Linked DNA regions of Caenorhabditis elegans. The protein of the gene in region 2 interacts with the protein of the main gene of each other region in a pairwise test. Each region holds a gene or a part of one and is shown on either strand. Other genes may lie near its edges.

Region 1 (5,013 bases), on a different chromosome or scaffold from region 2:
ACGATTATTGGGAAAGAGAGAGAGAGAGAGAGAAGAAGGCCACTAAGAGACGCAGGTATGTGCAGAAAATAAATACAACTTGCTTCAGCTTTGTTTTTATCGTAACTTCACAATATTTTGGCAATCCTTTTTAAAACCGCATGGATTTATTCAGATGTCGTTTTCTTTTCACTTTTCTGTCAGAATATGTTTAAAATCAGTTTTCAAAGTACAAATAAACTACTTCCATTAAAAATGTGGGATTTCCTGTGTTTTTTTCATACAATGGTTTTAAACAACGACAAAATTCCCTTAATAAATTGAAAAATGCAAGAAAAATAAACGAGGAAGCAGCCGCAAAAATTCAAACACAATTACCATAAACTTTTTTGCGCGTCGGGACCCATCTGAATAAATCTCTGCGCCTTTAAGGATTAATTTTTATATGAATTGATTTTTCTTTTAAAATAACAACAACTCAGTTACGCGTTCTTGTTTGGTTTTCTTTTAAATTTTTAATGTGGCTCCTGACCGTTTAATACATTAAAAATAGATTATTGTAGAAAATGACACAGCGAGAAATATTGCAATCAGTCCATAAAATTGAAATCGATGTAATCTTTATAACTCTCACATAAACGACAACGTATTTAAATTCAAAGGCAATTGTTCAAAAACAGGGAAAATGCAATCTCAAAAAAAACGCCCGACATAAAAATGGGAACTTGTATGAAAAAATAAATGTACATTTGGCATAGATAATTGGCTAGATAAAGAATAAATACTTCCTATTGTGGCTTCTCTCTGTAAGTATTGACTGCTTCGATGTCGAATTTGAAAAGTTCAATCTCACAGGAATAGGCTTTTGGTGTGAGCTTGATGACTGTATGCAATGGAACCTTCAGATATGGAAGATCATCTCGATTTTTGTTAGTAAAATAGGCAAGAATGCAACGGAGAACTGCTTGATGAGAAATGACAAGGACATTGGATTGTCTCTCAAGCTCCATGATAACTGGCTCCAGACGAGCAACCAGATCTTCATATGATTCCCCACTTGGATAACGGTAGTGATATTTATCCTTATCTCTTTCAGCGAATTGTTTCGGATAACGAGCCTCGAAATCTTCATAAGTTAATCCTTCACATATTCCGGCATCGATTTCATCAAGACATTTCCAGAACTCTGTATGACCAGCGAGATCTTTCAGATGAGAAGCTGTCTGGGCGGCACGAATCTTTTGAGATGACCAAACACGGAAATCGTCCAAATCTTCTTTTTCGAAGTATTCGCGAAGTTTTCCAGCGTAATTTAAACCATTTTCACTGAGTGGGGAATCACCACCAAGACGACCAATTCTGTTGTACTCACTTTCTCCATGCTGTAATAAATTTTTTAAAGGGATTTTTAAACTATAAAAGTTTAAAAATACTTGATAATTCTCAGTGCTGTTAATTGAATGAATTATATCCCAGAAACGGAATTTTGTGCCAAAAAAACCGGTGTCCGGTCTTGACACGACATTTTTGTTAAATGAAAAAAGGCATCACCTTTAAAGAATACTGTAATTTCAAACTCTCGTTGCTGCGGAATTTTCATTGATTTTCTTTTTTTTTCACGATTTGTTAAAATTCAAGTTTTTTTACGGGCTCTCTTAGCTTGTTTGGTAAAAAAATATTAATTTATCAAAAAGTGAAATAAAAAATAAAAACGTTTTTACAGCAAATCGTGAGAAAACTGAAACTCAATGAAAACTCGGCAGCAAAAAAAATGAAACTACAGTAGTTTGTAAAGACGCACACTTTTTGGCATTTAATAAAAATTTTCGCGTCGAGACCTGTTACCTATTTTTAGCGCAAAATTTTTTCGGTTTTTTTGTTAAACTTACTCTTGACAAATAAATACTTCTTGGAAGAAGATGAATATTCATCAGGAAATACACAACACGACTCTGCACATGACCATTAACATTGTGAACATAGAAGGATTTTCCGGCATTGATAACTTTGATATAGCTCAGCTCTTCATCATGATCCTCATCAAGTGGCTCATATTGCATTCGATAGTTCTCGATACGCTTCAAAAAGTCTTCTTTTGCTTCCTCTTGAGACATTATTCCTTTATAATCTGGCGAATTGATTTTCACTTCCTGAAAATATGCGGGTTAAGGTGATTATTTTGAAGATCTAAAGGTTACCGTGATATTCGAGTTGATAATATCAGGATCATCACAAACAGATTCCACAAAGAAGACACGGAATGGTGGCTCGTGCATCATATTTCTGCAAAACTCCATCAGAAGCTTTCGTCGGTCTCTTGTAGTATTTGTCGCGTCGAGAATCTGAATAAAAAGTTTATGTCTATATATTTTTTTGAAATTTTTTCCTTTGTAACTCACCGCCACTTCTCCTTCCTTGTTATCCAAGTACCTTCCCATATCTTCAATGGCTAATTTCGCGCACTCACTGAAAATTCAGGAATTTTTTTAATTTTTTTTCTTCATAGTTTCGTAAAATCTCACTCTCGGATCTTTTGACCTCTGGCGTTGTTTGGCGAGAAGAACTCATTTTCGCCTTCTTCTTCCAAATTACACGCTCTTCTTCTGTACTCGCCGACATTGAATGCTGTAATTTTGATTTTTTGTTTCATGTCGTACATATAATCGAATCAGGACCAACCTTTGGTCTTAATTCCAATCCAGTTGAGGTAACGACACAGTTTGTGTGAGATGTATGTTTTGCCACGTGCCGGCAGTCCGACAAGTGCGATGACGTTTGGAACTCGAACCTGCTCGTTTGAGTTGTCTGAAAATTGAGATTTTTGAGAAGACAATGTGGAATGAAAATAAAATAGGGCTAATCGATCAATTTTATGCACTTTTTCAACTCAAAATGCGTCCAAAACGGCTCAAAATTTCGAAAAAAAATGGGCTATTTGATTTTAGCTAAAATCTTCAATTTTGCCAAATTTTCCATGTCGAAACGGACGGAAATCAATTTTAATTGAAATTATGTGAAATAAACTATCTTTTTAAATTTCGCTCATTTGGGCACATTTCGAGTCTAAAAGAGCAAAAAAAAATGGTAAGTCCTCTTTTAAAGTAAACTGACCACTCTTCGGCACGAAATACGTCATTTTGCGCTGCGGTACGCCGGCTGGCCCAGGCATCTCGTTCTCCTGCAACATTTCTAGCCGAAATGATATCGTCTCTTATCAAAATGATTCCGAAGACAAAGGCTTATCATTTTAATCAAATATTAAGAAATCAATAATAATATTATTGCGCCGGAGAGAAAGAAAAACAGGCAATGATAGAGAGAAAGAAAGAAAGAAGGTTCGTGTTATGAATGGGAAGAAAGTAGACACAATCTTCCATAACAATAAAGTAGGAAACCGAAAACGAAAAGAAAAATAACCAACAATTCATTTTCTGTGTTCAACCATCCCTTTCTTTCTCTCTTCTCCTCCCTTGTTTCTTCTTACACTCGAGTTCGCGGGTGTCTTATCTTCTTTGGCGCCTCCTCTCTCTCTCCAATAAAAAGAAAGTCCTGAGAAAATATACGTGACACACGGAAGCGAGAATATTCTCTCAAACCGACTTTTCAACAGTTGAAACGACGAGAAAAAGAATCGCAATTCAATCAACATTTTTAAATTTATTTAAACATTTTCATTATTTATTAATGGTTCATCATCCGGTGGGTCTACACATCCATTAACACCGTAATCTGAGACGTGGTGTCCAAAGTAGAACAGGTGATCGTTGATGTCAAAGTAGCGATGAGTGTTGCTGTAAGAGAAGATTTTCTTATCACGTGATTTCGATCACTGTCACTTGCCTGCACAAATTGTCCTCGTTCAATGGAGTCCCGGTGCAAACTTTGAACGTATCTTGACTTGTCATGTTTCCAGGAAACCAGACTTCGACTCCATGGTGATAGGATCCATGATTGTAGAATGGTATACACCATCTGGCATAGCTTTCCACGCAGAACGGAATATGTGCAACCTAGAAAAAAAACTTTTAATAGTCTTTTGAAAGAGGATATTTTGAACCGCCAGAAAAAAATTTCGAACTTGTTTGAGAAGTTTCATTACGAAATTCGCTCATTTGGGTGCATTTTGAGCCTAATAAAGCATTAAAAAAATCTTAAATATTAGTCTCCCTCACAATATCTCTTCCATGAATCAGTCTCCAGCTTCCTCCAGCAACTAATTTGTCATGTGTCATGGCATATTCGAGATTTCCAACTCTAGGCTGTCCGAATGTGATTGAAAAGGTTCGACTCGACGTTTCGGGAAAGTTTCTAACGAAAACAGTCGATGCAATACTTGCAATAGCTCCGCCCAATGAGTGTCCTGTGAACACAATTTTATGATCTGGAAGTGAGTCTTTCAGTCCTCGCAGTAGTTTTTCCATTGGTGACCACATTGTTTTTAGAGCAGAGTAGAAGTAATAATGAACTGATCCAGCATTGTGCAACTGTAAAATAAGTTTTCTTTGCTCTGTGAGTACTCAGACAAACACTTGAAACATGAGCCTACTTTGTGCTTTGGCCGACCAATGCTTTCGATAAGTTCAGTTACCAGCTGCTCTTTCGATTTTGTTCCACTGAAACTGACGAATATTGTGTCGTTGTCGGCAGCAATCACACTCCAGCACTGGAAAAAATTAAATCAGATGATTTTTGAATATTTAAAGATCTCATGATCTTTTACCTCGTCACGCATATAATCGCACTCCACCTTTTTGAAAAACAATAAAGTCGCATTGTTTTTCGAGATGCAAGGTTCCGGATCGATGGAATACGCAGCCGCTGCGAATTCCAGAGTTCTCTTGCTCAATTCATAGTCAAAATCTCGATTTACTTTCTTGCAATCAGCTAGAAAGAAGAAAAGACATGAAAAAAGAGCGAACCCGTTTCGCATATGGGTCGAAATTCCGATCGAAAATCACTGAGACCTGGAGAGGAAAATTGGGAGGATTGAGAGTTGTTTACGAGGTGAAAAGTTGTTAGATTGGATAAGTGTAA
Region 2 (5,258 bases):
GTTAAAATTATGAAAAATTTAAAGCTTGTCAAATTTTGCGAAAAGGTCTCCGTAACTTGCAATAAACTTATCTATCTTTGGAGTAAAATTGGCAAAATTTGGCAAAAATTGCCAAAACTTAAAGCAAGTTAGCAAAAAATTGCCAAAAATTTGGCAAAACTTGTTGAACACTCTCCAAAACTCGAAAAATGCTCAGAAAATTCCTATAAATCACAGACTTTTTCGTGTGCACTGACACAAAATGAGCACAATGAGCACAAAAACTTTTTGTGGAGCACATTCCCAAAAAGCTGGAACTCAATTATTTCAGGGGGCTCTGCTCATTTTGTATTCTTTTTCCTATTAGACACTGATGGAAATGGCATGGAAAACAATTATCACACGTCATTCCTTTATTTTGTAGGACTTTTGACTGAAAATTTGCTATTTTTGGAATCAGAAAAGTACGACAGATGTGTTTTTGTGACGCATAGGGGTACAAATAAAATGAAAAAGTTGGCAAACACCTATAAGACACAGTTATCAGGTGTTTGGAGCTAATTTGGGTAAGTTAGAAGAAAGTTGGCAAAAAAATAGGCACAAAATTAGCAAAGCCAAACAAAAGTCAAAAAAAAAATTAAATTAGCAAAGCCAAACAAAAGTCAAAAAAAAAATTAAAATTTAGTTTGCAAAGGATAGGGGAAAGTTGAACGAAAATTGACAAAAAGCTGGAAAAAACCGGCAAAAACTGGCAAATGTCTGGCGAAAGTCGCCAAAAGTTTCGGTAGCTTCCTGACAAACTTCAAAGCTTTCCGGCAGTTTTTCGACAATTCTTGCCAATTTTTGGCGACTTTCTGCCATCTTTTTGACAATTCTTTGCCAACATTTCGTCAGTTTTTGTAAATTTTTTGGTGACTTTCTCGCGAATTTTGACAACTTCTTGACAACTTTTTGGCAACTTTTGTCAACTTTGTGGTTTTTTTTTTGGAATCTATCAACAACATTTTGGCAATTTTTTGACGACTTTCTGGCAATTTGTTGGCAATTTTCGCACAATAATAATTTTCAATCAGATTCCTAATCCCCAAAAATAGGTGAAGCCAGCTGGAAAAATTGAGCCAATGAGTCAAAATGCTCGGTGAACTTAACGAAACTAATCTCTAATTACTTGAACAGCAGAAAGAAAAAATGACGGAAATCTCACGTTTCACTGTGTAAATCATGTGATTTTTGGGGGCAAAAAAAATGAACCTAACTCTTTTTTTCAATATTTACTTTAAGGGGAACGGTACTCTGCAGTTTGCAAAAAAGAGCAATTAAATAAACGCGTACTTTAGTACTCAAAAATTTTAAGGCAAATTGCGAGTTTTTGGGGAAAATTTTGAAAAAAATCAAAAAAAATTTAGTCCAAAAATTTAGTCCAAAAATTTTTTATTTTTTGAAAAACTCACAAATTTTAAACTTAGCAATTTTCTAATTCCAAAAAAAAAAAAATTCCTCTTCACAAACCTCTGTGTACAATTCAATTCCGACATACTTCCACCGTACGCCAAGTGATTATGTGATAGGCGGCGGTGATGGTGAGGTGTCCCCGCAGGGGATCGCTCCGGGGAGTGGTATTCTGAAAATTTATCATCATTTTTCCAAGAAAACTACCCAAAAATCTCATGTTTTTGCAAAAAAAATTTGGGCTAAAAAACACAAAATTGAGTTTAGCGTCAAAAATTGCAGTCCGACTGAAAAATTTGAATTTTCTGTTTTTCTTGATAAACTCACGACTTTTGGATTTATTTTTCTTGTATCGTTTTTCGACGTGACAAAGCTGAAAATGGCCGGGATTTTTGAGCTCCTCGTATATCTGAGCCGCGGAGCTCCATCGGATTGCGCTGAAAATTTTTGAAAAAGATTGAATTTTGCATAGCCGGCTTCTTCTCACTTTTTTTTCAAATACTCCGGAGCCGCCTCAAGAGTTTCGCCGGTCAAATTGGTGATCCGACACTCGCAACGGATTGTACAGGAGCAATTTGGCATCTGCAAAAAAATTTTTTTTTTAACTTTGGGGTTGTGTGAAATTTCAAGCTCATATTGAATCAAAAAAAATCAAAAAATTTCAAAAATTGGTAAAGTGACGTCATTTTCAACATTTGAGAATATTTCTTCGAAAAAATTTAGTTTTGGGTCCCGCCGCGAAAAGTTCTGGGATACTGTAGATAATAAAGACGTTTATAAAAACGCGTGGAAAAATTTCGAAAAAAAAAACTCAAGTATCGGTAGAGTGACGTCATTTTAAAACTGAAGAATTTCAAATTTTTTTCAAAAAAAATTTAATTTTTGGGTCCCGCCGCGAAAAGTTCTGGGGTACTGTAGAAATTGAAGATACACTCGTGAAATTTTTTGGGATACTTTTGTAAAATTTTAAGCTCATATTGAATTGAAAAATTCAAAAAAAAACTCAAATATTGGTAAAGTGACGTCATTTTAAAATTTGAGATTGTTTTCCATAAAAACTTTTTTTTTCGAAATTTTGGGTCCCGCCACGAAAACGTTCGTCGTATTGTAGTTTTTGGAGCGTTGTTATGAAATTTGTTTTTTTTTCTGCTCATAAAAATCACACAATTTCAAAAAATCTCAAAAATAGGCGGAGCGACGTGCTCTGGAAGTTTGATAACATTTTCCAGAAAAAAATTTTTTTTTGGAAATTTTGGGTCCCACCACGAAAACGCCCATGGTACTGTAGTTTTTGGAGGTTGTTTTTATGAAATTCATAGCATTTGTTGGCTGAAATTTCAAGCTCATATTGAAATTTAAAAAATTTGAAAAATCTCAAAAATGGGCGGAGTCACGTCATTTTGAATTTAGGAATTTTTCGAAAAAAATTTTAAAAAAATTTGGAAGATTTGGGTTCCGCTACGAAAACACTCGTAGTTTTGTAGTTTTTAGAGATATATTTTATGAAATTTATAGCAAATGTTGGTTGAAATTTTCTGCTCGAAAATTGTTTTTTAATTTTGAAAAATATAAAAAATCGGTAGAGTGACGTCATTTTGAAGTTTATGAATGTTTTTTCAAAATTTTCAGAAAATAAACTCACTTTCCGGCTAAAAGTCTCTGATTTCAGTAAAAATTGGAAGTGATGGCTTCTGGAAGGTCGCATTTTCAGTTGGAAAATTTTCAGAAATATTTTTTTTTAATTTCGAATAAATCCAAAAAGTGGGCGGAGTCAGTCAGGGGGCTTAACAGCTATAAATTAAACGCGAAAATACTTGAGAAAATGTATAAAGTCGGGGGATTATTTTTTTGCACATACAAATCGAATCAGAAGGATTTCAGCTGCTTTTCCAGCAACTAGTTCTAGATAAGTGAGGTGTGACGTCACTGAGGCTCCGCCCACTTATTGGCAAAAATTTGAAAATTACATAATTTATATTGAAAAAATAGTACAACTTTTAAGTTTAAAATTCACGAAAAAAATTTTCATTTTTTTTTTTCGTTAACATTTTTTCAAAAAAAGGATATAGCTTTTTTTTTTTTAAATTTTTTCTCTGAAATTTTCAAAAAAAAATTCCAAAAAGTTCCAAAGCCCGAATCACCAAAGAACACCAATTCCAGTTATCAATCATTAATTTATTTTCAACTTTCAAAAGTTTTCTTTTTCTGATAAGAAAAGACATCCAAAATTTGATAAGATTTTTAAGAAATAGTATTAGAAAATGAGAGAGTTGGGCAGAGAAATGAGAGAATCTTTAAAGGTTGATGACGTCATCTGAACGGGGAAAAGATCAATTTGAAGGGAAATTTGATGGGAAAAATGTAGAGGGTTAACAGGGGGTTAAATATGGGCATTTTTACAACAAAAAAATTTTTTAATTTTTTTCGTAAATTATGGCTTCATAAATGACAAAAAGGGCATAACATTGACAAAGGAAAGTAACTGAAAATTTCAATTTTCTGTTAAAAATTGGCAGAAAATTTAAATTTCCCGCCAAAAATTGACTGAAAATTTGGATTTTCTTTCCAAAAATTGACAGAAATTTTGTAAAAAAAAAATTGTGAATTTACAGCCAAAAATTAATTGAAAATTCAAATTTCCCGCAAAAGAATAATGCAATTTTTTTGAAAAAGCACATATTTTTTAGAGCGAAAAAATTATTAAAAATTGAGTAAACGTTTTGAAAAAATAATTTTAACATTTCACAAAAAAATTTGAAAAAAAAAATTTTCTCGATTTTTTAAAAATTCAAAAAAAAGTTTTTTCTTATTTAAACTAACTAACAAAAAAATTTGATTTCTATGCACAATGAGCACATTCAAATCAATAAATTTGAATTGAAAGCTTCTTCTCAAAAAAAACTCACCGGAAGCCCCTAAAAAAGAGGCAATAAATGCCGAGAGAGTGTGAGCTTCGAAAGTTTTTTTTTCGTTTTTTTTCTCAAAATGAAAAATGTGCCATAAATAGACACTCAGAGATAAAAAAAAGAAAAAGAAAAAAGTGTGCTCAACGGAGCAAAAAAACAATGAAAAACTGAAAAATAACGAGAAAATTGAGAGGAAAGTGGGGGGGGGGGGGGGGGGAGAAAAACAACATTTTGCAGGGCTCAATGAGCATTTTTTTTGAAGTGAAAAGTGCGAGAGGATTAGCTGAAAATGATGTAAATATTATTTGGATAAGGTTTTGAAAAAAAAATTTGGAAAAAAAATGGAAAAAAAAAATTTTCGAAATTTTTTTTTATTTTCAAAAATGTTTTTTTTTCAATTTTTTCAATTAGAAGCCCGAAAACTCACCTCTCCGTATTTTTCCACAAAAAGTGAAAAATGAGCAAAAAAGAGCCCGCCGTATGATCGAATATCCGCTGCTCCGCCGCCTAACTTGGCGGAAACTCTTTTTTTCTCAGCTTTTTGGCACAAAATCAGAAAAATGCTCAATTAGTAGCTAATTCATATTTGCATGAAGACCTTCATTTATGTTAAGGACACATACGCATAAATCAAAAAATCAAAAAAAAATTATGGAAATTGAAATTTTTCGAAAAAAAAATACTTTTACACAAATACTGATTTTTTACTCAAAAATTTTGAAAAAAAAAAACCAAAAGAAAAAATCAATAAATTGGAGGAGGGTTCGAAAATACAGAAAAACAATCAATTATGATGACGTCACTGTGATCGGATGACAGTGCGGATGACCTGTTGTTGGCCGGCCTGAAAAAGTGAAGGTTGAGTGGAAAAAAACAGAAAAACTGATTTTTTGGTGGAAAAATGACTGGAAATTTGAATTTCCC

Evidence for each region.
Region 1: the proteins of Y43F8B.2 (region 2) and pfkb-1.1 interact in a two-hybrid assay, tested with the Caenorhabditis elegans proteins (one large-scale study listed by BioGRID).

What each region holds. Positions count from the first base shown.
Region 1 is NC_003279.8:5,129,675-5,134,687, reverse strand, and holds pfkb-1.1 (6-phosphofructo-2-kinase domain-containing protein), read right to left. Parts: upstream 3,169-5,013; 5' UTR 3,167-3,168; coding exon of another isoform or gene 3,149-3,166; coding exon 3,091-3,148; intron 2,785-3,090; coding exon 2,659-2,784; intron 2,605-2,658; coding exon 2,502-2,604; intron 2,446-2,501; coding exon 2,379-2,445; intron 2,322-2,378; coding exon 2,178-2,321; intron 2,130-2,177; coding exon 1,869-2,129; intron 1,362-1,868; coding exon 768-1,361; 3' UTR 583-767; downstream 1-582. Other genes in the region: Y110A7A.7 (Fungal lipase-type domain-containing protein), read right to left, coding at 3,641-3,770, 3,820-3,989, 4,152-4,463, 4,526-4,642, 4,700-4,909.
Region 2 is NC_003283.11:19,529,978-19,535,235, forward strand, and holds the start of Y43F8B.2 (GSKIP domain-containing protein), read right to left. Parts: upstream 3,134-5,258; coding exon 3,071-3,133; intron 2,011-3,070; coding exon 1,916-2,010; intron 1,866-1,915; coding exon 1,756-1,865; intron 1,601-1,755; coding exon 1,489-1,600; intron 1-1,488. Other genes in the region: Y43F8B.1 (Prion-like-(Q/N-rich)-domain-bearing protein), read right to left, coding at 5,134-5,178.